Linked DNA regions of Arabidopsis thaliana. The protein of the gene in region 4 interacts with the protein of the main gene of each other region in a pairwise test. Each region holds a gene or a part of one and is shown on either strand. Other genes may lie near its edges.

What was found.
Region 1: the proteins of NPR4 (region 4) and LSU1 interact in binary tests that used the Arabidopsis thaliana proteins (3 or more experiments, as listed by UniProt).
Region 2: the proteins of NPR4 (region 4) and NHL3 interact in binary tests that used the Arabidopsis thaliana proteins (3 or more experiments, as listed by UniProt).
Region 3: the proteins of NPR4 (region 4) and AT3G08530 interact in binary tests that used the Arabidopsis thaliana proteins (3 or more experiments, as listed by UniProt).

The regions. Positions count from the first base shown.
Region 1 is NC_003074.8:18,372,820-18,379,314, forward strand, and holds LSU1 (response to low sulfur 1), read right to left. Parts: upstream 3,122-6,495; 5' UTR 2,901-3,121; coding exon 2,616-2,900; 3' UTR 2,414-2,615; downstream 1-2,413. Other genes in the region: LSU3 (response to low sulfur 3), read right to left, coding at 1-133; ATG13 (Autophagy-related protein 13), read left to right, coding at 5,073-6,442.
Region 2 is NC_003076.8:1,928,450-1,935,362, forward strand, and holds NHL3 (NDR1/HIN1-like 3), read right to left. Parts: upstream 3,320-6,913; 5' UTR 3,263-3,319; coding exon 2,567-3,262; 3' UTR 2,347-2,566; downstream 1-2,346. Other genes in the region: AtPOT1b (Nucleic acid-binding, OB-fold-like protein), read left to right, coding at 19-139, 233-369, 464-656, 813-877, 1,012-1,100, 1,242-1,508, 1,601-1,677, 1,758-1,816 and 2 more; AT5G06330 (Late embryogenesis abundant (LEA) hydroxyproline-rich glycoprotein family), read right to left, coding at 6,512-6,913. UniProt on the Arabidopsis thaliana protein: Confers resistance to Pseudomonas syringae pv. tomato DC3000 (Pst DC3000).
Region 3 is NC_003074.8:2,590,286-2,598,630, forward strand, and holds the start of AT3G08530 (Clathrin, heavy chain), read right to left. Parts: upstream 5,370-8,345; 5' UTR 5,127-5,369; coding exon 5,082-5,126; intron 4,730-5,081; coding exon 4,525-4,729; intron 4,419-4,524; coding exon 4,330-4,418; intron 4,213-4,329; coding exon 4,134-4,212; intron 4,059-4,133; coding exon 3,931-4,058; intron 3,829-3,930; coding exon 3,730-3,828; intron 3,650-3,729; coding exon 3,541-3,649; intron 3,434-3,540; coding exon 3,354-3,433; intron 3,271-3,353; coding exon 3,043-3,270; intron 2,957-3,042; coding exon 2,891-2,956; intron 2,764-2,890; coding exon 2,647-2,763; intron 2,554-2,646; coding exon 2,356-2,553; intron 2,273-2,355; coding exon 2,156-2,272; intron 2,060-2,155; coding exon 2,000-2,059; intron 1,808-1,999; coding exon 1,721-1,807; intron 1,596-1,720; coding exon 1,512-1,595; intron 1,424-1,511; coding exon 1,289-1,423; intron 1,201-1,288; coding exon 1,138-1,200; intron 1,058-1,137; coding exon 953-1,057; intron 885-952; and 7 more. Other genes in the region: KOB1 (elongation defective 1 protein / ELD1 protein), read left to right, coding at 6,228-6,614, 6,859-7,008, 7,146-7,198, 7,357-7,465, 7,555-7,689, 7,810-7,854, 7,955-8,142.
Region 4 is NC_003075.7:10,694,425-10,703,010, forward strand, and holds NPR4 (NPR1-like protein 4), read right to left. Parts: upstream 4,369-8,586; 5' UTR 3,820-4,368; coding exon 3,301-3,819; intron 3,210-3,300; coding exon 2,471-3,209; intron 2,390-2,470; coding exon 1,842-2,389; downstream 1-1,841. Other genes in the region: AT4G19650 (Mitochondrial transcription termination factor family protein), read left to right, coding at 1-742; AT4G19670 (RING/U-box superfamily protein), read right to left, coding at 4,959-5,367, 5,627-6,393, 6,496-6,918. UniProt on the Arabidopsis thaliana protein: Salicylic acid (SA)-binding substrate-specific adapter of an E3 ubiquitin-protein ligase complex (CUL3-RBX1-BTB) which mediates the ubiquitination and subsequent proteasomal degradation of NPR1 in the absence of SA.

The DNA.
Region 1 (6,495 bases), on a different chromosome or scaffold from region 4:
CCACCGTACGCCGCCACAGCTGAACCATCTCTTTCTTCATCTCCTCCATTTCTCTCTCCAACTCTCCGTTCCTCCTCCGTAACTCCTCCACTTCTTCCGCCGCCACCGTCACATAACCTCCTCCTTTTCCCATTATGATTATGTTTCTTGTATATAGACAACAATTTGAGTTAGGTGGTTTTGCTGCTTCTTGTGTTAAACTGTTAAATTCTCTTCTATGTGTTGATGGTCCTTTTAATAGGCATATTTTGAGTTTTGGTATTTGGGATTGCAAAGTGTCTAGGTTCAATGTATCTCGTGTTCTCTTCTTTTTTTTTTTGTCGACATCATTGTCTGTCTACTGCACGTGGTACATATCATGCAAGACTATCACAATAATTTATTCCTTTTGAATATCTGCATCTAGAATTATCTTCAAGCAATATTTAACATTAAAAAAAAAAACATTTAGATTAAAATATAAATTAGGTATCGTTATCAGAAAATATATAATTTAGATATGAACTAGTATTATACTAATATGTAAACACACAAAAGTAGATAATTATTTATACAAAATCAAATACACAAAGATATACCACACTAATGATGACGAATATTAATTAGATATATATACTAGTAACCTAATAGGTTTAAAATGTTTTTTGGGGGCTGTTTTATTACATTAATCTAGAAAATGCAACATCAGTACATACATATCCATGCATGATAGTATAAGTATATCTGGCCTATTGTAGATATGTATCCTATATCCCAAATTTGACACATTTAAGAGAAAATCTCATATTCTATCAAAATTTTCATATAATTTGCTCATAGTGATTAGGCAAAAATCTTATAGTTATATTCCTTAATAGCTTATTAAGATGTCAAATTTCTTTTATCATCATCACCATAATTATTAGATACACAAAAAATTAGAAAATCATATTAAGACGTTAATTAGTATTATGCGAATTAGTTGAATATTAGGAATCGGTGAACGTCGTGGAGATACATATGGGTGACGTCACCAATCACGTCGATGTAATTGTCATATCCCATTTCTTCGTGCCTCCAGTGGACCACTTCTACTTATCCCAAGTCAATGGCCGTCGCACCAATGAAACACGTAACGATTATTCCTACTAATTCATTATTCTTGAATCCACCAATATTAGTCATTAAACCCATTAATCTAGGCCAAAGTCTAAGCTATCTCTATTTCCTAAATTGTTCATGGAACTATAGTTAATTAATTACAGTTTGGTCACCCGATATCAAAAGAATTATAGCTTTGTAAACAGTCAAATTCGATAGTCGATATCGTAGACAAATGATTCCAATAATGGTAGATCCTTCTTTTCAAGAGATATCAAAATCAGGGATAAAGTAGCATAAGAAAAAAGCCAAAGAAGAAAAAAAAATCATGAATAATCGTTTGCCCAATTATTACAAAATGCCAAAAAAAGCTGCGACATGAACAAATTCGGAGCGTGGGATGATCACATTTTAGACCATACAATTTGATTGAGTTCCTATACTGTCCAGGTTCAATGTATCTGCTTTCTTGTCCGGTTTAGTCTTCCAAAATTACATACTGGCTCACTTCGGTTTAATTTATTCTAATTTGGTTCAACTTTGTTTAGAATGAAAAAAACACACACACACACATCTTTCTTGAAACAATTGAAGTTTCAATTCATTTTTGGCAGGCATGGTTTACTCCGGTACCGTTGTTGATTAAATAAGAAATGGTAATAATTTTAAATCTACGCATGGCATATTCTCATCGTCAACGGATACTATCTCAAATTTATTATGATCAAAACAGTTAATTAACAGCAAAACAAACAAAATCACGTCAAAATCGAATGTCAATATTCCTCTTAATTTGCCAGCACCACATATCTTCATACTATTTTAAATGATTTTTTTTTATATTAACAAAATAAATATATAATTAAATGAAATAGAAACAGAAAATGACCCTTGAACCAATGGAAAACTTACACAATTTCATGTTTCACGTCCCCTAAAGACTATTGTTATGGTTCCATAGAAAAATCATTGAACCATTCTCTCCTACGGTTTCCATTGACCACAAAAAAAAAATCCTGAAGTTGTGGAAAATTTCCATGAAACTCATGTACCCAAAAACCCTTTATTTTTTTCTACACTCAAGTTTCAATTAACTCTTCTACGATTCCTTTGAAAATTATGGTAATGTAGGATTTCATGGAATTTAAACTTCAAAGTTCTTCGATCCCCTTCGAGTCTCCAATACCTACTAGTTCCATAAAATTATTTTGATAGTTAAGATTGACATTAGATCTCACTCATATATTATTACTTCATTACTTAAACATGGTATCATTCCAAAATATTATTTGCTTCCATAAGAACTTTTGTAATTAAAAGTCAAGACAAAATATGCAACTAGTACCAGAAATACTAATTCATTAGAAATGGAGTTCAACAATTTGTATGATTATCAGAAATTCTAATTTATTCACTAGAAATGGATTCAAACATTTAATTTATGTTGAAAACATAACATATTACCATCGATCTATATACATGTATAGTGATTGTCACATACACAACTATACATAACTTATGAGAAATATCTTATTCTACGAGGAAGAGACGACAGAAGAAGAAGAGAGACGAGAGATTTGATCCATGAGGAAGAGCATGCGATCGTGATAGTCACGTGCCTGTTCTAAAGACTCGACCTCCAGCTCCGCCAGCTGCGAGCAGAGTTGCTCTTCCGCCTCCTCCGCCACAACCGTTCGCTGCCACAACTTAATCATTTCTGTCTTCATCTCCGCCACTTCTCTCGAGAGCTCTATGTTCCTCCTCCTTAGCTCATCCATCTCTTCCGCCGCCACCGTCACGCATCCTCCTCGGTTCGCCATTAAGATTCTTTGTGTAAAAGGATTTGATTGTGGTTCTAACTTTGTTTCTTGATTTGTTGAGTGTTAGGGTTTGATTATGTTTCTTTAATAGGCGCTTTGTGTAGCTTTTGCATGTCCAGGTTCAATGTATCTGCTTCTTGATTTTTATTTCTCCTCACTTTTGATTTCGGTCAATATTTTCTCCTTACTTGAAACTTAAACATACTCATGGCTTATGTATGCATAGACCACCCCAAAAGAGAAAATTTACTATTTTTTTCGAATGTTCAATTTTTTTTTTTCGTTTTTTTATCACAGTTTCGCTAGGTTCGATTTAAATATTTTTTATATGAAACTTAAACCAAATTAATTTCGAAATTTCCGGTTTATCCATGTTATTAACTAGTTTTAACTTTAAAATTAATAAACAAATTGCCGTCTATACAACTATAAATTGATAAATGGATAAATATATGTTAACGTGTAAATAGAATAGTAATTAATAATTCTAATGCCGTGGTTTACACAAATTCAATTTAATTATTTATAAATCTCTGGTCCGTCAAATTTGTAATAAAAATGTGTTGGTCTGATCTCTGATGTATGTATGTGGTATATATTGATTACATTATTGAGTTAGTAGGGCTTGAAATAGGTGACGTCTGAAGCCAATCACTATAGTGTTTCTCACTTTCTTGTGATATTGTGAGTTTGTGACAAGGATTTATTCTTTAGATTATTAACTAACAAGTTAATAATTTGGGAAAACGCTGCCGCTTAATATTGCGTTACTTATATTATGATTGAAGAACTATTATGGGATATTTCACGACATCATACATCTACAACCACTATAAAATAGAAAATTAGTGTACTATCACCAAAAATATATTTCTCCTGTTCCATGAAATTTGATGTTTTAGATTTTTTTTTGTTCCATAAAAATTGATTTCTTAGGTTAATATTATTATTATTTTTATTAATGACTAATAGAGAGAGGAAAGAAGTAGAAATTATATTATTAAATTAACAAAAAAATAATATAAATAACATAAAAGTTAATTTTCTTAATTTGGGTGAAAAACCCAAAACATCATTCTTTTAGGAACATAGAGAATATATAATAGACATTTACAACTTATACATTTGTTGATAACATGCAGTATGTTAGTTTGAATACATATTTTTCACAACAGTAATAATAACAGTTGTTAGAAGACTAAACTACATTGTAAGAATCGCTTTCTCTTGTAATGATACAATATAACATATAACATTTAAAATAAAATAAAAATCTGTAGGTTTTAAAATGTTAGCTACGTAGTCCATAACTTCAAAAAACCAATGGTTTTGAACTCATTCCATAGTGATGATTGCAAATACATATTATCTGGTTTACAAAAAAAAAAAAAAAGTGTTCCAATTATCTAGAAATGTTGGGCCTAATGCTTAAACAGTAAGCCCATATACTTAAACATCCGACTTGGCGCATTTGCTTCACCTTCTCTACCAAAAAAGCGCGTGAGATTCAGGTTCACTGTATACATTAAGAGCCTATTGTCTTGTCTCCTGTAAAACCAGAAGAAAACAAAAATTCAACAAAGGATAACAAGGACGTGGCTATTCTTCATTGGCTGCATTCACAAGAGTCGAATATTAATTAGTAATTTCACAGTATAGTACATTAAGATTAACGAGACCTATTGTCTCCTGTAATTGAGGCAACAAGATAAGGGTAAAACGAGAAAAACAAAAGAGAACAAAGACGTGGCTATTTATCATTGGTTGAATTCAATATTAATTTAATTAGTAATTTCACAGTGTTCTCAAATCGTGATCGTGTGTGTTTCTTCTACCTCTGAAACTCTTTTTGTTTATGTTGATCATCATCATCGTCATCTGCGTGTAAAACACACTCACGCCATCGTTGACGTCTCAGATCTTCACATAAAAGCTTCTATTATCAAACTCTCTTCCTCACGGTAACCCTAACTATCTGTAATTTATCTCTCTACACTTTCTTCATCTCTTAATCACCTTAATCATCTTAAGCTTTGTATTTCTAGATCCTTCTCCCAAAACAACGATTCGTGATCTCCGTTCTCATAGATCAGTTTCGGATTTGGATATTTCTTAGGGATTTGTGTGAGATATTTTTAGAATTGTTTCGATTTAGGGATTTGTGTGAAGAAGATGGATTTTCCAGAGAATTTGCCTTCAGATATAGGAAGATTAGAGCAGATTGTTTCTCATTTCTTCCCAAAAGCATTACACATAGTTCTTAATTCCAGAATCCCTTCGTTGCAATCTCGTGGTCGTACTCGTGAGCGTTTATCAGGTCTTAACGTTAGAAAAAGTGACAAATGGTTTAATCTTGTGATGGGAGATCGTCCTGCTGCGTTGGAGAAATTGCATTCTTGGCATAGGAATATTCTGGATTCTATGATTATTGATATCATTCTTGTCCATCCGATTTCAAACGATAATTTGGATGATGATGATGATCATAGTGATTCTGTTGTTAGATCAGCTGAGACTGTGATTGAGCGTTGGGTTGTTCAATATGAGAATCCTTTGATTATGTCTCCTCAGAGTTCTGACTCTGCAACGCGTTACCAGAAGGTTTACAAGAAATCTATCATTCTGTTGCGGTCTCTTTATGCACAGACTCGGCTTCTTCCTGCTTATCGTGTCTCTAGGCAGCTGAGTTCTTCTCTTGCTTCTTCTGGTTATGATTTGATTTACAAGGTTTCATCTTTCAGTGACATATTCTCTGGTCCTGTGACGGAAACAATGAAAGAGTTTCGTTTTGCTCCTGTTGAAGTGCCTCCTGGTCGTCTTTGTGCATCGGTTACTTACCGTTCTGACTTATCTGATTTTAATCTCGGTGCTCATATCACATTGCCTCCGAGGATTATAACTGATTATGTGGGAAGTCCTGCAACAGATCCTATGAGGTTTTTCCCTTCTCCAGGGAGAAGTGTTGAAGGCCATTCCTTTACTGGTAGAGCTGGTCGGCCTCCATTGACTGGTTCATCTGCAGAACGTCCGCATAGCTGGACTAGCGGCTTTCACAGACCTCCAGCTCAATTCGCAACACCGAACCAATCTTTTTCGCCAGCTCAGTCTCATCAGTTGTCACCTGGGTTACACGATTTCCACTGGTCACGTACAGATGCTTTTGGTGACAATCACCAGCTTTCACCTCCCTTTTCACCATCGGGTTCTCCATCTACTCCAAGATACATATCTGGGGGTAACAGTCCGCGCATTAATGTGAGACCAGGGACTGCTCCAGTGACCATTCCTTCTTCAGCCACGTTAAATAGATACGTTTCATCTAACTTCTCTGAGCCAGGTAGGAATCCACTTCCTCCTTTTTCCCCCAAAAGCACAAGACGCTCCCCTTCATCGCAGGACTCTTTGCCTGGGATTGCGTTGTACAGGAGTTCTAGAAGCGGAGAGTCTCCTTCTGGATTAATGAACCAGTACCCTACTCAAAAGGTTATGCTTCTTACATCTTATGTGTCTTGCTCAATGCAAGAAAAATATCACTATATTTTGTATTGCCTCATCTGATATTTTGTTGATTTATTTATATCTACTCTTCAGCTGT
Region 2 (6,913 bases), on a different chromosome or scaffold from region 4:
ACCCCAACGATCAGAGACATGGAGGAGGAGAGAAGAGATGACTACAAATTCCTGAGAATTCAAGACGCTTTCAAAGCATTGCATCTTCATGTTAACCTCATTGGAGTCATCGTTGAGCTAGGATTCTCCAATGGCTCTGGTATCGTGATCCTCTCCCAAAATCCTTTTTTGCTATTTCATTTCATCATAGCTTCGTTTTTTCATACTTCCGACTGCTCGAAATTTGTCGCAGATTGTTCATGTACGCTCAAAATCGTTGATCCATGGTATTCGGGATCTGGCCTTCCCGTTAAGTTCGTCGCTCGTACCATTCGAGACCTTCCTCGTGTTGAATCGATCGGAGATATCATCTTACTTTCACGTGTAAAGGTTGACACACTATTCCTCTGATATGAGAAGATCAATTCTTCGTGGCTTTTGCTGATTTTGTTGTTAAACAGTTTTCTTCTGGGTTTAAACTCAGATTGTGCTGATTAACCGGAAAATCACAGCTCTCTGCAATGAAACAACCTCTTCGTCTTTTGCTTTATTCAATGGGAAACATAGCGTGGATTCTATACCTTACCAGTCCTCACCTAAATTCCTGATGAGAGAACAGGATAAGAACTTCTTATCGAATCTGAGAGAATGGATGATCACGTACAAGTTTGAAGATGGTAATTATGATGCAATATCATTTCTAATGAATTCTACTTATTCACTGAAATCTCTATATGCAAATGTTTGCTTCGTACTTTATCTCTAATGTGTTCTATGTCTTGGTGGTAAGTTGCGATTGTTGTGAGGTTTTGTTTTGTTTTGTTTTATGATAGGGTCATGCTGTTTCACATCCCTGAAAGATATCAAAGAAGGCGAATGTTCAAACCTATCTTGCCAGGTAGATTGATCATTCCTTAAAAGAATATGTTTTGGTTTTACTTTTCATGTTCATTTGTATTTATGGAACTGTAAGTGTCTTTTATGGTCTGCTATGTCTTTGACATTGTTTCTCATTGTTTGTTTCCTTTGAAGATTGTTCACATTTCCAAGGTCTATAAAGATAGATGGTACCTCTTTGTTTGGGATGGAACTGAGATGCCACCCTGCAACATCTTGGTTAAGTAAGTCTGAATTTCCTCAACCAAAATACAACGAGTAAAAATAAGTTTCTCTTATGCGTCTTATATTCATTTACTAGATTTTGGTCATATATCCCAAACGTGTTACTCATCTCACTCTGTTTTTGTTTGCAATCATAATAGGTCAGAAAGGCTTCCTTTATGTGTAGAACCCGAGATGTTGCCTACATACATGTTACGTAAGTTTCCTACTTTTGGTTCCGTTTTGAGGATCATAGTAGATAGAGTTAGTGAGAAGCAGGCCATTCACTGTCTTCAACCTGGTCAACACGTGAAGCTTCTGAACCTTTTCTTTCAAGTAAATATGGGATTATGGAACGCCACTTTTACTCCCTCTACAAAGATGCAGTACACAATGAGCAGAGAGATGGAAGCCTTTAGTCCTCAAAGGTTTCTGCTGACACCTTTTCTTATCCTGTGAGTTGATGTTCTGCTTCGTCCGTTTGTTCTTCAGTTTAAAACACACTTTCTTACCATTTCAGAATGTGTGGGGAGAAGTTTTCACCGAGATGGAACCCAATCGCGCGTTGCATTAGTCGTTCACATTCTGAAATCACAGGTAATAACCAGCTAATTGTTTGGAATTGTGGAAATTTGACATAACGTTTAATATAATACTTATGGTTTAATCTTTTCTAGGGGTTGCCCATGACGATGCTCCATTTGTTTCTCTGATGGACATCCTGACCTATCACAATGTAATGTATCCAAAAACCTTGGATTTATCATAAGTTGTAGGAAAAGAGTATAGTGAAAACTTTCTTGAATTGATGTTTTACTGATGCTTATTATGCAGGTGACTGCTAAATTCAGGTGTGTTGTTCGGTTCATACAAGTGTATCCCCGAGACGTCAGAAAACTCCGTGATATCAACGGAAATATCAAATTGGTAGCTATACTAGAAGATGCAACCGCCAGAATCCATGCTTCTCTATATGCTGATGAAGGGGTAAGTAAAACACGATTAATTATTAGTGTTCATTGAAGGATTGTCTAATACTTATATCTGTATATCTTTTTACAGGAAAAGTTTTTCGGGTGTGACGAATCTGATGAAGAGGCTCTAGTCAAGAAGCTGAATAGATTGTTGGGAGGTGAAGAGATGGAGAAAGTGCCAAGAAATCCTCCATGGGTACAATGTTGCTTGTTCTCATTCTACAAACACAAAATGGATCAGTGGGAAAGCAGAAGATTCCGCATTTTTGATACTTGGATCAATGCTTCATGAGACAATCATAATGCTAATTGTATAGTTATTAGCATTAAACAAAATGTGATTATTTATTTACATGGAACCATACAATAAAACATTACATAAGAAAAATATCTCTCTCCAACGATATGTATGGAAGATAATAAAGCAAAACAATCTAAAATAAGAATCAATAAACAAGTGTAATATGATGAACTCGAAGAAGACTATAATAGCATTGACTCTTGACTAGCAATCAAAAGTCAACGTCACACTTGGTCGGCTGAAAAACAAACCCGCTGGTTGAATTAGAGGTAAGAGGAACCTTGAGATCGCACTTGATCTTGGGCTTGAACCTCCACGACTTGATCAACCCAAACTTAAACCTAATCTTAAGTCTCAGCTTGGCATCGATCCTATAGATCTGAGAATTCACATCCTCGTTCAAATCCTTCCTCTCTCCGCCGTCAAGCAGCACCAATTGCTGTCCCACGAGTTTAGTTCCAACCACCGTCGTGTTCTTATGTCCCTGGTAAAACTTCGAGATGTTGTTACTCATACCGAATCGCTGATCACCGTAGTATCCTCTGACTTCGATTTCATCATAGTAAACACCGATCCGGCGGTTAGGGTTACGGATTGTGAAATTGAGATCGAGATTGTATCGGAGGTTGTTGGTTGGGTCGAGTGTGAATTCGGTGAGTTTAGCGTCGGTGACGTGGAATTTGATAGCGTTGGGTCTGAAAATGAGCCAGATGATTAGAGCAGCTATGCCTAATAAGACGGCTATGGTTATGAGGATGTTGAAGATGACGCTTAAGATACAGCAGCCGCAGCAGCCAAGACAGTCACCTAAACAACCGCATCCACCGCCGCGTCTGCCGTGGCTGTGAGAGACTTTCTTCGGCGGTGGAATCGATGGTCCGTAATACGCACCGTTTAAGTCCGCCATCTGTTCGTTAAAATGCCTCAGAGAACGATTTTGAAAGAAAGTTTTTTTTGGTTTGTGATAAGATTTTGAAAAAGTAAATATGATTTGAAGTGAAGAAGAAGAGGCCGTAATATATATACACTGTAGAGATAACGTGTATTAGATAAAACGATTTAATTTGACGCGGTTTTGTTTTTTCAAAGTCAAAGGTGACGCGTCGGTTTAATATTGTTCGATGAAAATTTGATTTAAGTAGAGGTTACTTGCGAGATTGTTATTAGATATTTAGGATTAACAGTTTGATATACATTAAAGATTGTTTCTTAAATTTTACTATATGGTTTCTTCTTCAATTTGACTATGTATACTTTGGTTAAGCTTAATGAGATTATTTCTTGAATCCATATATACATGATTTGGTGATTAATGAGGTTAGTGCCGATCGCATACAAGAATATCCATATGTAGATATTTATTTATATATTCTTTTATTATATAAGACATGTGAGAATGTGATGATACTTAGTGCGGTAGTTAGTTTGTGAATTGTGAATAGTCATTTTTACAATGTAACTAAGCTTCCGAGAAACTTCCCCAAAAGCGACTGCTCTAATATAGCCATTGTTTCTTAAACTTGACGAAAGACTTTTGAGAACAAAAATAGAAAATGTGGCCAAAATATCAATAAGCCTATACAAAGTTAGAAAAAGACAAACCAGTCCCGGTCAAGAATTTCGACATTATATATATAACATGATGAAATGAAATAACTTTGATCTATAGGTTGCAAGTTGAAACTGAGGTGGGGTTTTCCAAATGTTTATTTTATAACTATGAGAACAGTTCTACTGATAAAGGTTATTTAATTAATTATCAATTAATGAAAATGTTTAATGTGAAAGATTTCTCAAATTCAAAGAAAATTAAACATTGCAAAGACTTGTTAATGTTATAATGCTAAAAGCAAGGAAAACTAAGGGAGGTTGGTGTTTAGAGTTGGATGATGTGACCTGTAATTGAAAGGAAGATTAGGTGAAGCCATGCTTTCAAATGTTTACATCTTTCTTCAATGAGAAAGGTCAAGCATATTTAATAAAGAATAATAATACTAGATCGCAACTCAATCATATTAAACTTTAAAACAACTATGGAGGATTTATAAAAACAAATGTAACAACTAAAAAAAGTATTCTTATAATATGAGATGTAATGTGTTTTATTTATTTATTAAAGTAGTCAATGTAGTTTAAGAAATTTTTATGTGTTATACGGTATAACAATAATTTTCATTGTATATGATAAGTAATACACAATAATTTTAAAGAAAAACCTGGTGATGAACAAACGTGTTTGAAAAACTTGTTAGAGTTTAATGCGGTGTCAATGTGTGTGGTGATAAAACATTAAACTAAATTAGACAACAAATATTTCACGAAGACTCCTTCAATCTTAGCCGTTTGGACGAAATAGATCATTGGAATTGGACAAATAAATGATGAAGACTTTGGTTGTTCTTAGGGTTTTGAAAATGGAGGAACCGACGACCGATCCCTATCTACTCAATTCCGATATTCATCCGAATAAATTATTGAGAAATTGCGTTGAATAGATGTCCACTAAAGTTTAAATGGACATATATCTAAGGAAGTAACATATAGGGTATACTTTTCATGTAATCTATTACTAATTCTAATTTGGTGGTTGTCACCATAATTTTGTGTTGTTAATCATTGTTAAAATCTGGAATACAATACGACTCGAAAGTCGAAACTGTATCGTGTTAACCAGTGGACCAATGATACAACTCCATGATTCATTTTACTTACGTTATCCTTTGGTTATGAATGTTTATTCTATGTTTTGGTTATGAATTTCTCTAGATGAACAAAATCGAATCTTTATGTATATATTCAAGTCTTGATCATTTACACGCTTAATAAAATGTATGACTTCAAAAAGGCAAAAAGGGAAGGTTATGTAGACAATTGTGTGTTTTTATCATCTGCTTTTTTACAGTATAACTTCGGTTCCAAACTAGGATTGTATATTCATGGATTGATGGGCGTAAAGTTTCTCATCATGCTGATCAATTACCTAGATTACGTATGGCAAATTTTCAGTACAATGTTTCGAAGATTTTCAATTAAAATTATGTTTATATACAAACTGGATTCGGCAGCGTGTATATGTACAAAGGAAACAAAACACGTGGGAGTTAGTAGATAAATGGGACTAAGATTAAAAAATTGCATAAAAAATCGTTCACAAACACATCAAATATTTGTTGGTGACGAATCTAACGAACAAATTGCGTACGTTATGCTCAAATTGGACCTCGCTCTTATGTACATTTTGAATGTTCTCACATTGGACTTCTTTCTGAAATACATATACATATCGAATATAATAACAATAGCACATGTAATGAATCATTTCGCAAGTTTTCTCTCTTGGAGAAAGTGGATTCCAGATTGAGAATTACGCCTACAAATCTCTTAACAAAAGAGGCAAAATTAGTCGAAGCAGTTGGTTATAAGATGACTTCATTATTAACCCAAAAAATACATAATATAGAATATTCGTGGGATTCGAACGTTGGAGAAAAATACCCTATTTCTTGTAAAATAAGCAACATGATTCTACTTTTTATCATTTCAAGATCCAAGAATATTTAGGAGACAAACTAACCAATATATTAGGAATATAGATTTGATCAAGAGTTTTTCCTTTGAATGTACTGAACTGTTGTAAAGAGCCAACTTTAAGATCTAAACTTTAATGGGAAATTGAAAAACTATATGAGAATGGGTCTTGATTCTGTTTTAGAAAAAGAAAAAAAGACAAGATACTATAGATAATGACACCGTACAAATGGTTACCGTTCCGATCAGATATTTCTAAAATTCAATTGTCGTCACTCTGGATCAGCACAAAATCATAGTCAATGAAACAAGAGAATATACATTATTATCATTATATAGAAAACAGTTTTTAATTGAATCATCCATCATAAATTGTTACCAACTGAAATAAAAATAAACCTTTTTTTTTGTCTTTTACTATATTTTAGTGTTTCCTTTGAATCTTTTACAGCTCGTCATAACAATAACGCAACCGATTGCAATTCTTGATATTATTTCTCTATGACGTAGGAAAAAAAAAGTTATAAAACTTAACTACTACGAGATTATATATAAAATATATTACGTTATTAATAATGAAAAAATCCGTGACCGATACCACCGTCACCGTTAAGTACCTCTTAATTTGTCAAACACTAACACTACAAGTTTCGGTGAGCATGTACTTTCCGACGATAACTCCGGCAGCACTACTCCCGAAGTTGATAAGCGCATGACATCTAACGTGGAGATGATATTTTCCGGTGATGAAGGATCCGACTTTCCAACGAACTCGACCGTCGAGATGAAGCATCAACATGATCGCGCCACTTGAATGGTCCTGATCGAGATAGAAAGCGTTGTACGGAGCCACAGGAACGGAGTATCCACCGACGAAAGGAGACCAAACGTTGACTTCTTTGTGTCCTTGATAAGTGGTAAGCATGGGACTCGGCAAAGTGATCTGTTGGCTCCGGTAAGAAGCGTAGACGTCAAGACGGTCGTAGTAGATACCGATCTTGTCGTTAGGGTTACGAGAGGAGAGAGTGAA
Region 3 (8,345 bases), on a different chromosome or scaffold from region 4:
TGCTCAGGGTTGTTGTTACTGTCTATGATAATTTTACCCAAGGCATTATGGACATGCACATCTTGGCTTCCCTCACTAACTAAATGCTCCAAGAACTGAGTGAGGAGACGGAGTCGATTTCTGAAAAAGCAGAAACATATTAGAGTTTCCAGAACTAAACAGACATAATTATGAACGCAAACCAGGATGACCAAAAGGATTCACCTCTTCTCACATTCCTCGACAAGTGGTTCAACAGGAAGCAATGAACGAACAGAGAGAATGAGGCCTTTTATAAAATCTTCAGGGCATTCATCATCAAGCAACTGCCCGACAACTAAGGGAGCATTCCCAGGGTTCACCTTTGACAGAATCAAACGTATAAATATTTCATAAAAAAAAACTGAACTCCAACGCATTAAAAGTAGTCCCAGGAAACCTTATACCTTCTGCACGTAGCCTTCAATGTAACGAAGCATGTTGTTTGTGTAGAGGTAATGAGTAAGATCAGGCACAAAGCTGAAACGATCACAGACATTTATCAAAGGTCGTGCATCAGGCAGCTTAGCTTCCATCAAAAAGTTCTTCGTCTTTTCAGCATCATAGAAGTTAGACTCTCTAGTTACACGCTCAACCTCCTTTATTTGACCAGTCTTGGCAGCTGCTTCAATGTACTTGAAATGGATCTCAGGATCCTCACTATCGCACAGAGAGAAACATTGTAAACATAAGCATATAAATACAAGAATCGTGCTTGTTTACAGAAACGAGATCAGATTTTATCTATATCACCTCATACTCAAATATGAACCTAGGAAAAAGTATAGCCCTTCATATGACTTGAACTGCTCAAAGAGCTTAATACATGCATCAACACCAAGTTGCTCACAGTACTCCTTGCAAGCCTGAAATTGTATGGACACCGTTAGTGTCAAAATAACCAATAAGATTCATCATATCATACACCACTTGCCTGAACAATTATCTGCAGATTGCCTCTCAGGTTGACCAGCAACAGATCCTTCATGCACTCCATAGCCCACTCGCTAGAAAGAGTGCCAAAAAACTCAACAAGAGCCTGCATATGGAGCAGAGTGTTATGCAACAACTTGACCACTTAGTAGGTTTAACAACCAAAATATATTTCAGAGGCACTACCTGTGGCTCGATAGCATGTGTGTTTACAATTACACGTTTTATATCAGGTAACTCTGAGTAATGCTGCACAAATCAAAAGGAAAAGAAGTTGGAAGGTGAGAAGATGATAAATCTATTTGGCCGGTAAAAATGGTAAAAAACATGTACCAACCTTCAAGGATTGGATATAAAGTCCAGCCTTTTCACAAAGTTGAGCAATGCGAGGCCGGTCATAGTGGGTGAACATCCCATTTGCTAATACCGCATCAGCCACATTAGGAAAAGTTACCAAATTTATCTCCAGAACCTGTGTTGAAAAATGATTTAAACAGTCTGGGGAAAGAAGGTGAGTAGAGAAAAAAACGGAGAGATACAAGGTGGCAACTATTTTCAACCTTAGTTTGCAGAAAAGCATGCTCAGGTAAATTTGGCTTTAGCACATCCAGAAGGAAAGAAGTCGCTTCACGGATCAGATTTCTCTGAATATGCACAAATAGACAAATAAGCACATGATAATTTACATCTACTGTATACAATTCTGTATATAGGAGTAGAACAAGTAATGAGCTACAAATATTGGTGCATACAGAATATATTGACCTACCTGAAGAAAAAGATCAGTGATGGTGTTGTAGTCAACTGGAGAACCTCCTTCCATTTGAGACATCATTAATGCAAAATTTACTGCTCCCTGCAAATAAAAATTAAAAGACTATTGATATTAATACGGTGGGAAAAAGATTCTTCATTCTATATAACATCAGGTCAAATTATTCAACAAGTTAGTTGATTCATAACTCTTCCAGTGCTTACGCCACATATATTCAGTAAAGTCCTTTCATAGTTTAGTATGTTGCAAGTATCAAGAGTGCACCACACTAACCTGAGGATCTGTACGGAGTATGGTTTGCAGAAGAAACAGGTAATCAGGTGTGTACCCAACCTGAAGTCACAATATGAAACAATGGTAATTCATGAGACAACAGAACTTTAGGGTAAAAATAATAGAAGAGGTTATACTATAGATCTTATTGCTTACCTGCTTTGAGTAAATCAGTATTTTGTCAAACTCCCTTCTTTCTGCAAAAGCTGCTACAACTTTTGGAGTCGCCCGAGCTTTGATGTATATTTTCAGAGCGAGATCATTATCCACAGTCTGGAACAGAAAGGTTTATCGTCACAACACACCATAGGAGACATATCACACATTTTGAATAAAATCGTCCATTTCAAGATTACCTTCACAAGGTCTCCAAGTTCTTCACTGCATTCTAGTTTATCCTCTGCCAACCAGTTTTCCAGGAGGTTCTTCTTGTTTTGGTTCACAACCAGCCGAGATAGTTCCAGTGACTCATATGAATTGAGTTTCCCTCTAGTCAAAAGAGTCCCAAAATACTGTAACAATGGAGGAGTTTGTCCAGCTTGTACAGGAACACTCTGCAAAATTATAGAGTTGAAAAATTGGTGTTACCAACATTTCATCATAAATAAACATGTTTACACATAGTTGCTTGGATATGAAATAGACACCTGGAATTTGGCCACTGTATCAGGTGTCCTTAGAATTCCTTGAGGAGATTCAGCAGCAAGCTCAGCAGCCTCCTTGTACTTTGTTTGAGCGAACAACTCCTGGAACCGCTGGACAACCTACAACATCCGAGCAGAATATGAGAAACTTCACAATACCAAATGACATTTTTTTTCTTCAAGCTGCCATTTAACAACTATATAATTACTTCACCGAGACAACAGATCCATGATAAACATCGCATACCAGATTTTCTGCACCTGGGAGGTTTCCTCTTTTAGCAAGATTGACAGCAAGCTCCAAATTGTTCAACTGTGATACAAAAGCATAGATTTCTTAGCATGACATGATGAAAAGGGTAGGTTATAACGGGAAAATAGCATAAAAGATTAGCATACTTGGCCACTAATAAAAGGTATAATGGTAGCCTCGTTTACTGTAGCCAAAAGAACTTGTCCTCGCCTATTAATGGCATAGAAACCCCCAACTGAGGAAGCTTCAGAAGTCAAGAAAATTGGGTCTGGACTAATCCGATTTCTGTAGATAGCAGAAGCAGTCTCTAGATCGTACACAAACAACAGGCCAAGTTTGGTGATAACATATATCAAGTTAAATTTGTGAGAGACCTGTCAGGAAAATGAGAAATTAGTGCCAGAAATTGTCACTAACTACTTACACATATAACTGAAATTCTAATGCAATAGCAAACCTGCATGGCAACAGGAAAATCATCAGCAAAATCAGGGGGAAAAAAGAGATCTGCTTGTTTTTTTGTAAATGATGGTTTTCCTGCAAAAAAATCGCCAACCTTTAAAGATCAGATGAATACAACCTAGAAAACGTAACCAATTATATTAAATAACAGTGAAGATATAGTTTTGCGTCGGGGAGCTAACCAGGTTGGGCACCAAGCTCAATGACATGCAACTTTGATGTTATCTGCCCAGCATTAAAGCTCTTGCTTGCAAATGATATAAGAATAGAAGGATTCTCATTCCCAGGAACCTAATATTAATAGTGTTGCAAGTCAAACTACAGTTCAAGATTAGACCATAGATGAACTCACCAAAGAACAAAGACGTTACCTTAAACTGCGCAAACGATGCAGCATGTGCCTCAAGGGCCTGACTCCGCTGTTGATCCACAGAGAAAAGCTGCATATTTCCTTTTACCAATTGTTGTCTCTACAGAAAACAGATAATAATGACAAGATCAGTCAAGAATCTACAACATGAAAGCAGTTTTGATGTCTTTTTTTGACCTAATATGTGGCGCAGTAAACTTACCTCAGGAGAGCCAGGAGCAATTCCAATTAAAACCAACCACTTCTCATTAGGAGAGCACTTATAGTTTATAATTTGATTGTTGGCCAAATTGGCTGTTCTATCAAACATCTTAACTGGCTCAGAATCACCTATAAAACCCGAAGGAAAATTAGAAACGAAAACACAAGATATGAAGAAAATGACAGTAGGCTGAAATATACAACCTTCAATTGACCAATGATAGACGGAATTCTGTGTGACCAGCCCCAACATCTTTGGTGTAATCCACTTCCAAAAGACAACCTGTAAAAACATGAAACATTATTATCCAAAAAAAAACCCGACTGAAAAATTCAGAGTTATACGAAGTGTATAGCAGGAACGATAATGGAGTTCAAATATATTTGCATCAACACTCACCTGCTCAGGCATCTGATGTGATTTCAACTTTGCTTTGGCTTCAATGTTAAATATCTGTAGATGATCCTGAGTAGTTCCTGGAACTTGAGCTACATAAATATTGAAGTAAAAAGTGAACATCAAGATAAGTGGATTATGAACTACGAATTCGAGGAAACCGTTATGGGTTTTAGATCAAAGGAAAAAATCAAGTACCTTTCAAGGCAAGGATCTTCGAGTTTGGGTTCATAAGAGCAGAGTCTGCAGTAATAGGCCTCCTAAGAGGCTGCATCGGCATATTCATATCTATAATTACAACACTGTTTTGCGGTGACGTCTCTCGTACACAGATATACTTGTCAGACTCCATAGTAACATTTGTAAACGTGATGAATTGCTGATTGATCCCGATGCTCGGAAGCTGGAAAAATCAAGATGAAGCGTTACGTCAAATAGTTCATTTATTTAGTTATGAGATCCGAGTACATAAGCACATTGCTACAGACAACAACTTGAAATTCGGCATTGATATATTAACGAAACACAGATCTGAGCATAGTTAGAGAAATCTGATCAGAAACATGCATTCCCAAACAAGCGATCCGGAAAAACTAGAGAGTAACACAACGATCGAGCAGAATTCAGATCAGTAGGAAACTGGAATCAATCAATCAAGAGACTGAACAGAGCTTAATCGTAGAAAATCACGGTCGATTCCAGGAGATACACATCTAAATATTCAAAGATAAGAGTGAAGAGTAAGGAGAACTCACCGTCAGGACCTCCTTCATCGTGATGGGGGCGTTGGCAGCCGCCATGTTTGACCTCAGATCACAGCAAGAGTAAATCCGGGGACGGAATCAAATATACGGCTGAGAAGTCCTGACCGCCAATGGCCAGGAGATAGAACCGAGACGAGAGAAAGACTGGAGAAGAAATGAAATCGCTGCCAGATCTGAAGCAAGTGAACGAGAAAGGTGATGGAAAGAGAAAGAAAATTGAGAAAAGAAGAATAACAAATATATATGGGTAAGTAATGACGAACAGCGATCCAATTAGAGTCTTACATTTATAACCAGGTCCGGCCCATATCGGTCCTTACTGGGCTCTAAGCATCCGAATTTCTAATGAGACGACACGTGAAATATTTTAATTGGTGCTTTTAAATGAAGGTACCTTAGGTGAAACAACAATAAATGACTTAATAATTAAGATTTGATCCAAGAAAAAAACTTAATAATTAAGAATGGAAGAAGTGTCATGACTTTTAATAATTTTTTTTAAAAAACTTAATAATTAAAGATTTGATACAAGAAAAAAAAAACTTAATAATTAAGAATGGAAGAAGTGTCATGACTTAATAATTAGAAACAAAACTTAATTAATCTGATCCAAAAGAAGAAGGAATATTATGTCATAGAGTATCACTGATGATTGCAGGTTGCAATTGTATGTTGCATCAAGTCATCCGTCTTGGTTCCATTCAGTTTTCTGTGATGAAAGAGTCATTTCCCCTGGTTGAATTGGTTTTTTTTTTGTTATATGGCTCTGTTGTTTTGTATAGGTTATTGTTGTTATTAGCTTATAGTGGCTTAGTGTGTGGAGATTTGTTTCTCCCTGTGTAATTGCTTCTGTTCTTTGTGTTGGTACATGTTTCCAATCTATCAATTCAAATCCAGTTGAGAAAGATTAAGAAAAAAAATGGAAGAAAATCTCCCAATTTTTATACATAATAAAATGAGATGAATTGATAATCAATTAGATTTAGTTAGTAAAGTTTAATTTTACCGATGAGATCTCAGACGACCAAAACACGAAAATAAAATAAAAAGAAAGATCTCAGAATCGCGTCTTTCTTCTTCTTCTTCGTCTTCTTCCTCCGAAACTTTTTTTTGTTTTTCAAAGTGGTGGAGCTAACCATGAAATCGACTCACCATCACAGAGCTCCACTAATATCTGCTTCTTCCTCATCTTCATCTTCTTCCCAAAACCATTCATTCGTCTCTAGGCTCCTCCTTCTCCTTACTCTACTTCCAGTTTCCCTTGCTTGTCTCGCCTTTATCCTCCAATGGCGAGGCGGTGGTCTCGCCGATCCTGCCTCTGCTTCTGTTCGTTCCTCTACGTCGGTTCCTGGCGGCTCCGATCTCAATCACGAGGTCTTTCCCGGCATGGAGACTGTTTCATCTGTCTCCCCAAAGTCTCACCAATCCTCCTCCGACTGCTCAAATCTAGCTCGCAGCTCTTCTCCTTCTTTTCCTTACTATGCTGATTGGAAGTTTGGTGTTGATACTAGCTTAAAGCCTAAGGTTACTACTTTCAATTCCCCTGATTTCAAGTCTTTGGATCGATCTACACTTCCAAATTCCTTTTTTTTTTCTTAAATCTTACTACAATGTCTAATCTGAAATATCAAGTTGTTCTTTTTTTATTGGATTATAGAGATTTGAGAAATACCAAAGTTCATTTTTTGATCAGATCTGTCTTTGTAAAGTCACCTCACTTTTTGTGCTCCATGTTGTATATGATTCTTGACATTGTTACTGTTTACAGATATGTATCACGACTAGCACATCAGCTGGATTGGATCAGATTCTACCATGGATGTTCTACCATAAGGTTCTAGGCGTCTCAACATTCTTCCTTTTCGTTGAAGGGAAAGCTGCTACTCCGAGTATTTCTAAAGTGCTCGAGTCTATTCCTGTGAGTTGAACTACCTCTCTTCGCGTCCACTGTTTATTTTGTTTTGGCTGTATATCTCTAGCTCTTTAGTCCTGTAGGTATAAATTTGTATTTAAGGTATGCAGTTTTCGATAAATGTAGTCCCATGTCTCTTGCAGGGTGTTAAAGTAATATACAGGACGAAAGAGCTTGAGGAGAAGCAAGCGAAGAGGTTAGTTAGTTATCCCATTGCATATTTGCGACAAAGCTATAGCTCTTCAAGGCACTAAACACATGTTTTGTTGTATATTCTGAAATTGTAGCATTGTTTTGTTGTATTTTCTACTACTGATCATTTTACTGTCATTCTTTTTTGTTTTGTTTCATCAGCCGGATTTGGAATGAGACCTGGCTTTCGTCTTTCTTTTATAAGCCCTGCAATTATGAGTTATTTGTCAAACAATCTCTCAACATGGAAATGGCTATTGTCATGGCTAGGGTAAGTATTTCTTTTAGACCTTATTTGGTTCAGTTTTGACTCATGTCTCATGTTACATTCTCATTTTTCTTGTTCTTACTAAATATCAGGATGCGGGCATGGATTGGATACTTCATCTTGACACTGATGAGCTGATATACCCAGCAGGTGCTCGTGAGTACTCACTAAGACGGTTGCTGCTTGATGTTCCTCCAAATGTGGATATGGTTATATTTCCAAATTACGTGAGTGATATCTCATTCACACTTCTTGCATTGCTTATTTTCAGCTAGTTTTGTGAGTCTAAAGTTTCTTTTATGATCTGGCCTTTGCTATGAATAATGCTTTTGGATTTTGTTGTTTAGGAAAGCAGCGTAGAAAGAGATGATATCAAGGATCCTTTTACAGAGGTATAATTCAGTTTATTACTGTCTTTACGTAAGAGAGTAGGTTTATTAATATTTGTTTGTTATGTTAGTATTACTTCTGAGATATGTGTGGTGCAAGCAGGTGTCAATGTTCAAGAAGAATTATGATCATCTTCCAAAAGATACATATTTTGGAATGTACAAAGAAGCAACACGAAATAATCCAAATTACTTTTTGACTTATGGTAACGGCAAATCAGTTGCTCGGGTTCAAGATCACCTTCGTCCAAATGGAGCACACAGATGGCATAATTACATGAAAACTCCCAAGTATGTCTATCATATATTCAAACATAACTAAATTTTCTATTGGTTGAGGAACATGATAGGACTTTGTTGTTACTCTAATATAGAACCATGTAACTATCTTAAAGGAGTTAGCAGTGGAGTGGAGTTCCGGTTAACAGCGTAGTTAATTTTTTCTGTTTGTGAAGCCAATTTTTTTTTGGAAATACTAACCTGATGATTCTTGC
Region 4 (8,586 bases):
AGACAAATGCGTGAAAAATATTCAGAAGACGTTGGATTTCTTGATTGCTATTAGAATGGAAACGCAGTTTATCACGAAGATTTTGCTGAGTCATATGGAGCTTATTGGTTCATGCTCTCTGCCAGCACCTAGAACTGCTTGTCTTAGTTTGAATGTTAAACAAGACGAGCTATGTAAGATCTTAAAGAAAGAGCCTTTGAGATTGTTTTGTTTTGTTTCTACAACGAAGAAGAGAAAAAGCAAACCTCTTTCGGAAGACTCGAGGAAATACTTAGAGAAGACAGAGTTTTTGTTGAGGCTAGGGTATGTAGAAAACTCGGATGAGATGGTGAAGGCTCTAAAACAGTTTCGAGGGAGGGGAGATCAGCTACAGGAGAGATTTGATTGCCTTGTGAAAGCCGGTTTAAACTATAATGTGGTTACTGAGATCATCAGGCATGCTCCGATGATACTTAACCTGTCTAAAGATGTCATAGAGAAAAAGATACATTCCTTAACCGAACTTCTTGGCTATCCAATTGAATCATTGGTAAGGTTCCCGGCATATCTGTGTTATGATATGCAGAGGATACATCACAGATTCTCAATGTATTTATGGTTGAGGGAAAGAGATGCAGCAAAGCCAATGCTGTCACCAAGCACTATTCTCACTTGCGGTGATGCCCGGTTTGTGAAGTATTTTGTCAATGTCCACCCTGAAGGTCCAGCCATTTGGGAAAGTATAAACCAATCATCTACCTGAAGTTAAGGTTATTGGCACTATTTCTTGAATTTAGTACAACTGAGACAGTGAAGGGTTTTTGATATCAATGCCACCTAATGAATCAAAAGGAAGAGTTTGGAGAATTCCGGAACAGAGAGATCCATTAGTGTTAGCCGATGCTTGTGAAAGAGCAAATGAAGTATGTGCTGAGTTACAGATTTGATGCAGATCTAAAATGTTGCGTGAATTCATTGGAAATATTCTTTAGATAGTACTGAGAAGATCTGCAAATTGTTTGTTGGAATATTCCTCCTTAGCCGTCCTACAACATCTGTCCTGCAACATCTGTCCTGTAAACAAACAGATGGACACGCATAACATTCGAAGGAGACAGTACTGATGATTTGTCCAGAGTCTGTTACAGGTTACTGAAAGATCTCTCATGTGATTCATATACTCTTTAGTAATAGTTAGCTTGTGTTATGTAATTGACTGCTTCAGTTCAGGTCTAAAGGAAAGCAAATATTTTTGTAACAATTGAAGACATAAATCCAAGTAGTAGAATTTTCTGACCAAATAAGCAAGCAATATGTTCTAAATGATTTGGATTCAGAGCATCATATTTTTCCTTTACACATTTTAAAAATCAAAATCCCTTGTAATACAAATTGAACCTAAAGCCAAAATGGGATCTTCAATCTTTTCAAAGGAACTATCTCTATTCTCTAGTTCCTGTTTTGCTATCAGAAGCAGGCTTAGATTTTGGTATTGAGATTAATTCAACACGAGGATCTTTCCCCTGAGAAAGTGCCTGTTTAGTAATTCTCTTGCAAGAAGCTTGAAAATCTTTTAACTAGCTTAACATTTTTCTTGTGCTTCTCGTTCTGCTCAATCGTTGCTTCGATTTCACTTCCATATATTACAATTTTCTGACTAAAGAAAGAAGCAAAGCAAAAAGGAAAGGTTTTGCTTTATACATTTCAAAAATCCATCTCCTTTAATACAAAATCAAACCTAAACCATGTAATAAACCTGAATACCAAAATGGGATCTCCACTGTTTTCTAAACCAAAACCTATAAAATAGCTAATTTCTTCCAAGGAACTATCTCTAGTAGCATTACTTATCTGGGACAAGATCATGTTGGATTCTCTAAGGCTTCTCTAAGAGAAGAAGCTGGTGATGAAGAAGAAAGACAAGACCGCGCGACTTTGTCTTTGCTATATGCTTTTTTAACGTCGTTCTTCAGCTCGTTATATCTCATCCTCTTCTGTCTTCTCTCTTTCACAGTGCCTTTCTCGGGATACGACATATCAGGGATTTCTTCGTCCATATACTGATCCATGTACTTATCCAGAACCTCATAACAAGATGGGAAGTATCTCCGACCTGTCTCAACTGCGTTGTTGAACGGTTTCGAATCAGTCAATCTTGTGGTCAGAGAATAAAACTTGAAAGTACATTTCCTTAAGCTTTTACCTGTTTTCATGAGGGCTTTCATACGTGTAAGCATTCTTTTCGTTTGCACATAAGGCGTTTCATTTAAATCGACTTTACCCAAGTTTTCAGTTGTATCATTTGATGGAGGTGGAGTTAGAAGACCTGTGCACTCGCTTGTCCCTTCAACATTAGCAACGTCCATAGCCACATTGGCTTCTGCTGGGAAGAACAACTGAGCAAGTCCCACTGCAATGACACATACAAGAATTCAATAAAGAGACATCAACCTTAAGCTATGAGAAATATATATATCGACTAGGTCAATACCTCGCTTTTCTAAGTATAACAACCTCATTTGGAGATCCTCGGGCATCGAATGGGAACAAGTGGGTGTATCCCCACTAACCAATGGATTCCTTCTAATTTCCCTTTCCAAGATATCGATGCATAAGCGGTATTTACTAGGTTCTTTCCTTGAGGTTTTGGTATGATAATCTTTCGGCCTAGTGAGTCTCCTACATATATTTACCGCACTGCGTCCATCAAACGTGAAATCTGAAGCATTAGCTCCTTTTTGAATAAGTGGTATGATAATTGTTGGCTCTCTACGCATAGCAGCAATATGAAGAACCGTATACCCCCTGGAATTTCTGAAATTAACATCAGCCATATCTAGATCAAGAACCTGTGTCACAACTTTCGGATCACTGTATGCCACTGCATAATGTAGACCATTGGCTTGGTCTAGAGTTATATCTGACTCAGTCAAAAGAAGCTTCACGAGTTCTACATCATCTGAATCCAATGCCTTGAGTACTTTCCCTGTTCTCTCTATCGATTTATCCTCCACCTCGGGTATGTTCACCGACTTAACTCGAAGCTGTTTGATTTTTTCCAATACTTCTAAAGGAAGCTCCTTTTCGATACAGAATCTGTCTAAGTCTGATCTCGCCACTCTCTCAATGCATTGATCAAGAAGCTGTGTCAAATCACAATGAAACGCAACTAAGAGGATAGGAAGAACATTCTCTACTAGTGACTTCTCAACATAGTTACGAAGCTTCCGCTGCAGACACAACAACACACAACATTACAGCCTTGACCAATCAAGAACAGATTATTTACCAGCAAAATCACAAAGAAACTTTATCTCAAACCTGAAATGACGAAACAAGATCCGGGATTTGGAACACAAATGAAGCATACATCAACTCAACAGCAAAATCAATGGCCGGTTTACAAGAATCATGAGCACAAACTGAATCAACACAAGTTGAAACCTCGATAGGAAAAGGCTTTAACCTCCCAGTGTAGATATAGCTCAAGAAATGCAGAAATGCCTCACGTCCCACATTTCCATATGGTAATAAATCTTTCATTTGATACTTAGGTTTCTTCTCACTACTATCTTTATCTTTCTTAAACAGATCAAGAAAAAACTTGCTCCTAGCAGCTAAAACACATCTATGAACACTCACAGGGTTAGCTTCTTCTTCAATGATGATCTCTGCGTCAGTGTAATCGCAATCTGGATTAGTGAGAAGCTGCTCCAAGTTAGAGCTGAGCTCTTCAAGATTAGCAGCTGAGTGATAAGTAGTAACAACAGGAGAAGGGTTTGATAAGTGAGAAGATGTGAAACTTATAGATGAAGATGGCTCTATTGCAGTTGCAGCCATTTTGTTCCCCAGAAGTATCACTCAAAGACTCTGTTTTTGATCTTCAAATCCCCAAGGATACAAAAACCCTAAATCTAAATCCAATGACAAGGATCAAATTTTGAGAAGTGATTGGATCAAAAACAATACAGAGAAGATCATAGATATGAAATTAATCAAGCCCTGAAGAAAAGATCCAAACTTTATGAAAGAACATTCTAATGAATCAATGTGAAGAACAAAGTCAATTCGAGAAATGCTTCAAAAAGTCAACGAAAATGGCGGATGAGAAAAAAAAACTAAATGAAACTTAAATCATAAGAGAAAGAACTGAATAGATGGGTAGTCTTCAAAATCATTGCACAAATGAAAAAGATTTCAAGAAGAAGAAGACAATCTCAGAACAGATGGGAGAAAAAAATCAGAGGTTTATCTAAAAGCTAAAGGTGAGAAATAAGAAGACTGACCAAATAGTAAAGTCTTTGGAGAATAGTAAAGAAAGAGCCAATTCCTAATCCAATCTCCTAAATTTTGTGACGACGATTCAAAAACCGTAAGCAATGTCGTCAGCAATTGAAGACGACTTGAGTTGTGGTGAAGTGGGTCTATGACGTCTTAAATAACGTCAGCTTTGAGAAATATACACAAAATGCTAAGTAGATTGATGATAAGTGGACCCTTTCTAATAAGGTCATAACTTATAAAATGGGTTATGTTATGTCTACACAAAAACTCAAGATAATGCAAGAGTAGATTGATGATAAGTGGACCCTTTTTAATGGGTTCTGTATTTTATTTGAAGAGCATGAATAATTGAATTTATCAAACTTTTTCTTTACTTGGTAGTTGGTATATATATGATGATGCTAACCAAGTTCATTTTGATTAGTTCTTCAACCAAATTTTGGTAGATTAAATATCATAACATAACACTGAATATAAAAGAGTGTTAATCTTTCTTGCAGGATTTGTAGAATGGAGATGAGCAAACTCTTCTTCTTATAATTGCAAATAGTTTCATCACAATTCGTTTGTTTGAGTTCATCAAGAATCTAAAACCCTCCCAACAATTACTTTCGAGAGTGAGATACTCTCGTTTGGCCTCTCTGAACCAAACCAAGCCGGATCCTCAAGGCTATTAAATTACAATTCTACTACTTTCACTGGCTATTATACTCTTCATAGTAATCATCACTTATAACAGACACAAACCTCTCAAGCCAAGGAAGCTGATGAAGATCTTTCATTGCGGCTTCAACATATGATGACTCTGTACATGGAGGCGGCGGTGACTGATAAGTAGTATGGTGATCACTGAGACTAAACCCTCCACCTGCTAAGAACCTTTGGATCAGAGCAAGCTGAGATCTTTCTTGCTCTGAGTACGCGTCCATTACAGTTGGAATTGAGTTAAATGTGTCCCAAGGCCATTGCTCAACTTCTTGAATTGTGTTTTCCTCTACTGCGTTTTCTTGTTCTTCTTCATCATCGTCCCAAAAAGCACACGTGCAAGTCTGTTGCCCTTCTCTGTACTCTGCTCCACACGAGTAGCAAAACTCATGCCCGCATCTGCGGAAAACACAGAGAGTTTTGACATTTATATGCGTAAGAATCGCAAAAGAAACACTTGCTCTAGAATACTAGATTTAAACGTAGGCGAGAAAAAAAAAACCTTAGAATCATATGGTTATTACGATACCGTGATTCTGCAGTTAAAGGGTCAAGACTAACTATATTTTATTGGAAGTCAAAAACCTAACTTTGGTGGTTCAAATATGTATAGATACGGAAAACAATGTGTAGCCATAGATATATATGTGTGTCTTACCGGCAAGTCATGTGGTTGCAGCCTTGAGCAAGCTCGATCATTATACGGCATTGCTGACACCGCCTCCACCTCTTATACCTTGCCAAGCGATGCAATGTAATATCATCTGGGTATCTTTCATCAACTGGAAGAATCTGAAACTCTTCACAGCTCATAGAAGCATGCCAAGGAACACCACAGTCCACACACACAAACCTCTCACAGACTGGACACTCCACACAGCAGCTATTCTCTGACTGAGTAGACGAGCTTGAGCTAGCCCTTCCTGATGATAGACATTCTTGCGGGTCTAACAGAAAAGAGCAATTGGGATATGGGCAGTAAATCTTCCCATTGTTTTTACTACACACATTTGCTTCCTCGAATGATTTGAAAGTAGTGACGGGAAGGAACGATTTGCATTCCGCTGCTGAGAGATAATGCTTGCATTGCACTTGAGGACACCTGATGGGAACCTCTGAAGTCTTTACTTTCCCTTCAACGTACGTTTTCATGCAGTGCGAACAGAATTTGTGAGTGCATTTCAATGATAGCATCATCTCAGACTGACGGTCTTCACAGCAGATCGAGCAGTTCTCGATCGGTTTATCCCCATCAAGATTAGAAGACACGATTCCTACCGCTACTTGAGCCAAGCTTAGAGCTTCATCAAGATCACAGAAAGGAGCAAGCTTTAGAACAAACCCATTAAGGTTACTTGTTTTCTCCAATACCCTTTCTCTCAGAGCTACTAAAAGAGGGATCTCGAGCTGCTCCTCACGAGTTATCTGCAAAGTCAATTCATATAAAACGTGAGCTCAAACCTACAAAGAGATACAAAACCATATGAAAGCAAGTCTCTTCAACAAGCTAAAGAAGAGAGACTTTACCTGATTATAGAGCAACTCGGAGTCGGTTACAGCAACCACAGAGCTGAGATTGTTCTGTAAAGCTACTTCAAGACCATCCATAAGAGCTAAATAGTTAGCTACAGACTCTTCGACATAAAAATCCAACTTCTTCTGAACCTGAATCAACTCCAAATCTCCTGACCTCTCCAACACAACACCAATTCCCGAATAACCAGAACCCAAATCTCCTCTTTCGAATATCGAGACTCCTTTAAAGACCATCTTAACAGAGAACTCATCATCAAGATCATCTTTTTTCTCCTCCTCTACAACTTTAGCTATATCATCACTACCCTTTAACCAAAGTTCTTCATCACCACAACAACTTCTAAACTCTTCCTCATCTCCTAAGTGATTCAATGGAAGCTCCTCACATTCACAAGAATCCTCTTGATTTTCCATGTCTGGAAACAAACCTATCTAAACTACAAAAAGGTACAAACTTTCTTAACTTAGCAACACACCAATGAAACCCATATCGGATCTGCAAATTTCATGAAACAAAACCGAATAAAAATGAGATAAAGCTAATTCTTTTAGATATCATCTAATCTCAATTATACCATATACTGAGAGAGAGAGGAAAGGGAACAAAAAAAATGAACTTTGCATTACAGATCAACAAAACAGCTAAGCTTGATGAAGTTACATAAACAGATCAGCATAAATCAGAGACCAAATCATTTGAAAGTACACAGAAGATAACAAAAGAAGCAGCTCGATTTGTTGACCCACTAAACACCAACCAGACCCTCAATTATTACATATTTCAAGGAAGAAAAAAATTCTAATTTATTTAAGTAGCAGAAATCACCAGAGATTTTGTAATAAAACGAGATCGGTTGAAATTAAAGTATCATTAAGCAAGAACAGAAATCCAGAAGCTTTCTTACCAGTGGAAGGAGATTTACACTTGGAAACTAAAATTAAGAAGAAAACTCTAAGCTATAATAACATCTTCAAAATCTCTGTTTTTTTCCAGGAAAAAAAAGAAAATAAACGCATTGTTTTGGATGTTTCTACTGAGTTTTTGTGGAGAGAAGAAGAAGAAGAAGAAGAATCATCGGTTCTTCTGGTTTTGCTCTCTCTTCGAATGGCGTAAGAGAAAAGTTTTACTTTTTTTTGTTTTGTTTCTTTATTCTCTCTTTTTTTATTTATTAATTTATTTTATTTTTCTGAGTTTTTGGCTTCACTTTGCTGTCATTCTCGTACTGTACAATGTTTTATATTTTCCCACAATGAAATAATTATTTTCACATTACTAATCATCAAGTATTTAATTTAAAATATATAGTTTAAATAATTGAAACTGTAATAATGGAATTGGATTAGAACCTGAGCATGAAGAATTATAGCTTAAGAAACCAAAGTTAGCACATGGACTTTGTCTCCTCTCATTGAGAAAAAAAGCTGTAACTTCATTAAAAAAAAATCTTTCTCTGACTTTTAACATCCAATAGTTATATTCCCTTTGAATAAAGTTAGCAAAAAGAAGTACAAAAATGAAATTTTTAATAATTGTATTTCTGCAATAGAAGACACTCGAGGACAGTTTATGGCAGCAGGAAGTTTGAAAATGGAGACAGCAATCATTAGCTTAATTGTTTATAATCTTAATTCAAATGGGAAATGTGAACATGGACTTATCTTTTATTGCAGTGTTTGTGGCATCTGAAGAAACAGTAATTAACAGAGGAAATAAACAGAACAAATGCGATTACTAATGAATTAACCAAATAAATGGAGCAAACACAGAACAAACAATTGAACATCATTTCTAATTTGAATAACACTTCTCATTTGAATCTTGTACATCATTTCTAATTTTAATTTGTAATATATGGGCCTACTGAGACATATCAATGTGGCCCAATATCAATAGATGGCCTACTCAGATTTTTCCTTTGAACACAACTAATTAGTAATTCCTAATTTGCTAATAATGAAAACATAAACAAATTTTGAAGTAGGAAATAACGATATATTACCAATGGATATGACAAAGAAAACGACAAATTTTGTAGTTTTTTAACAGTTTGTAAATTGTAACATATTCAATTCAGCGATGTC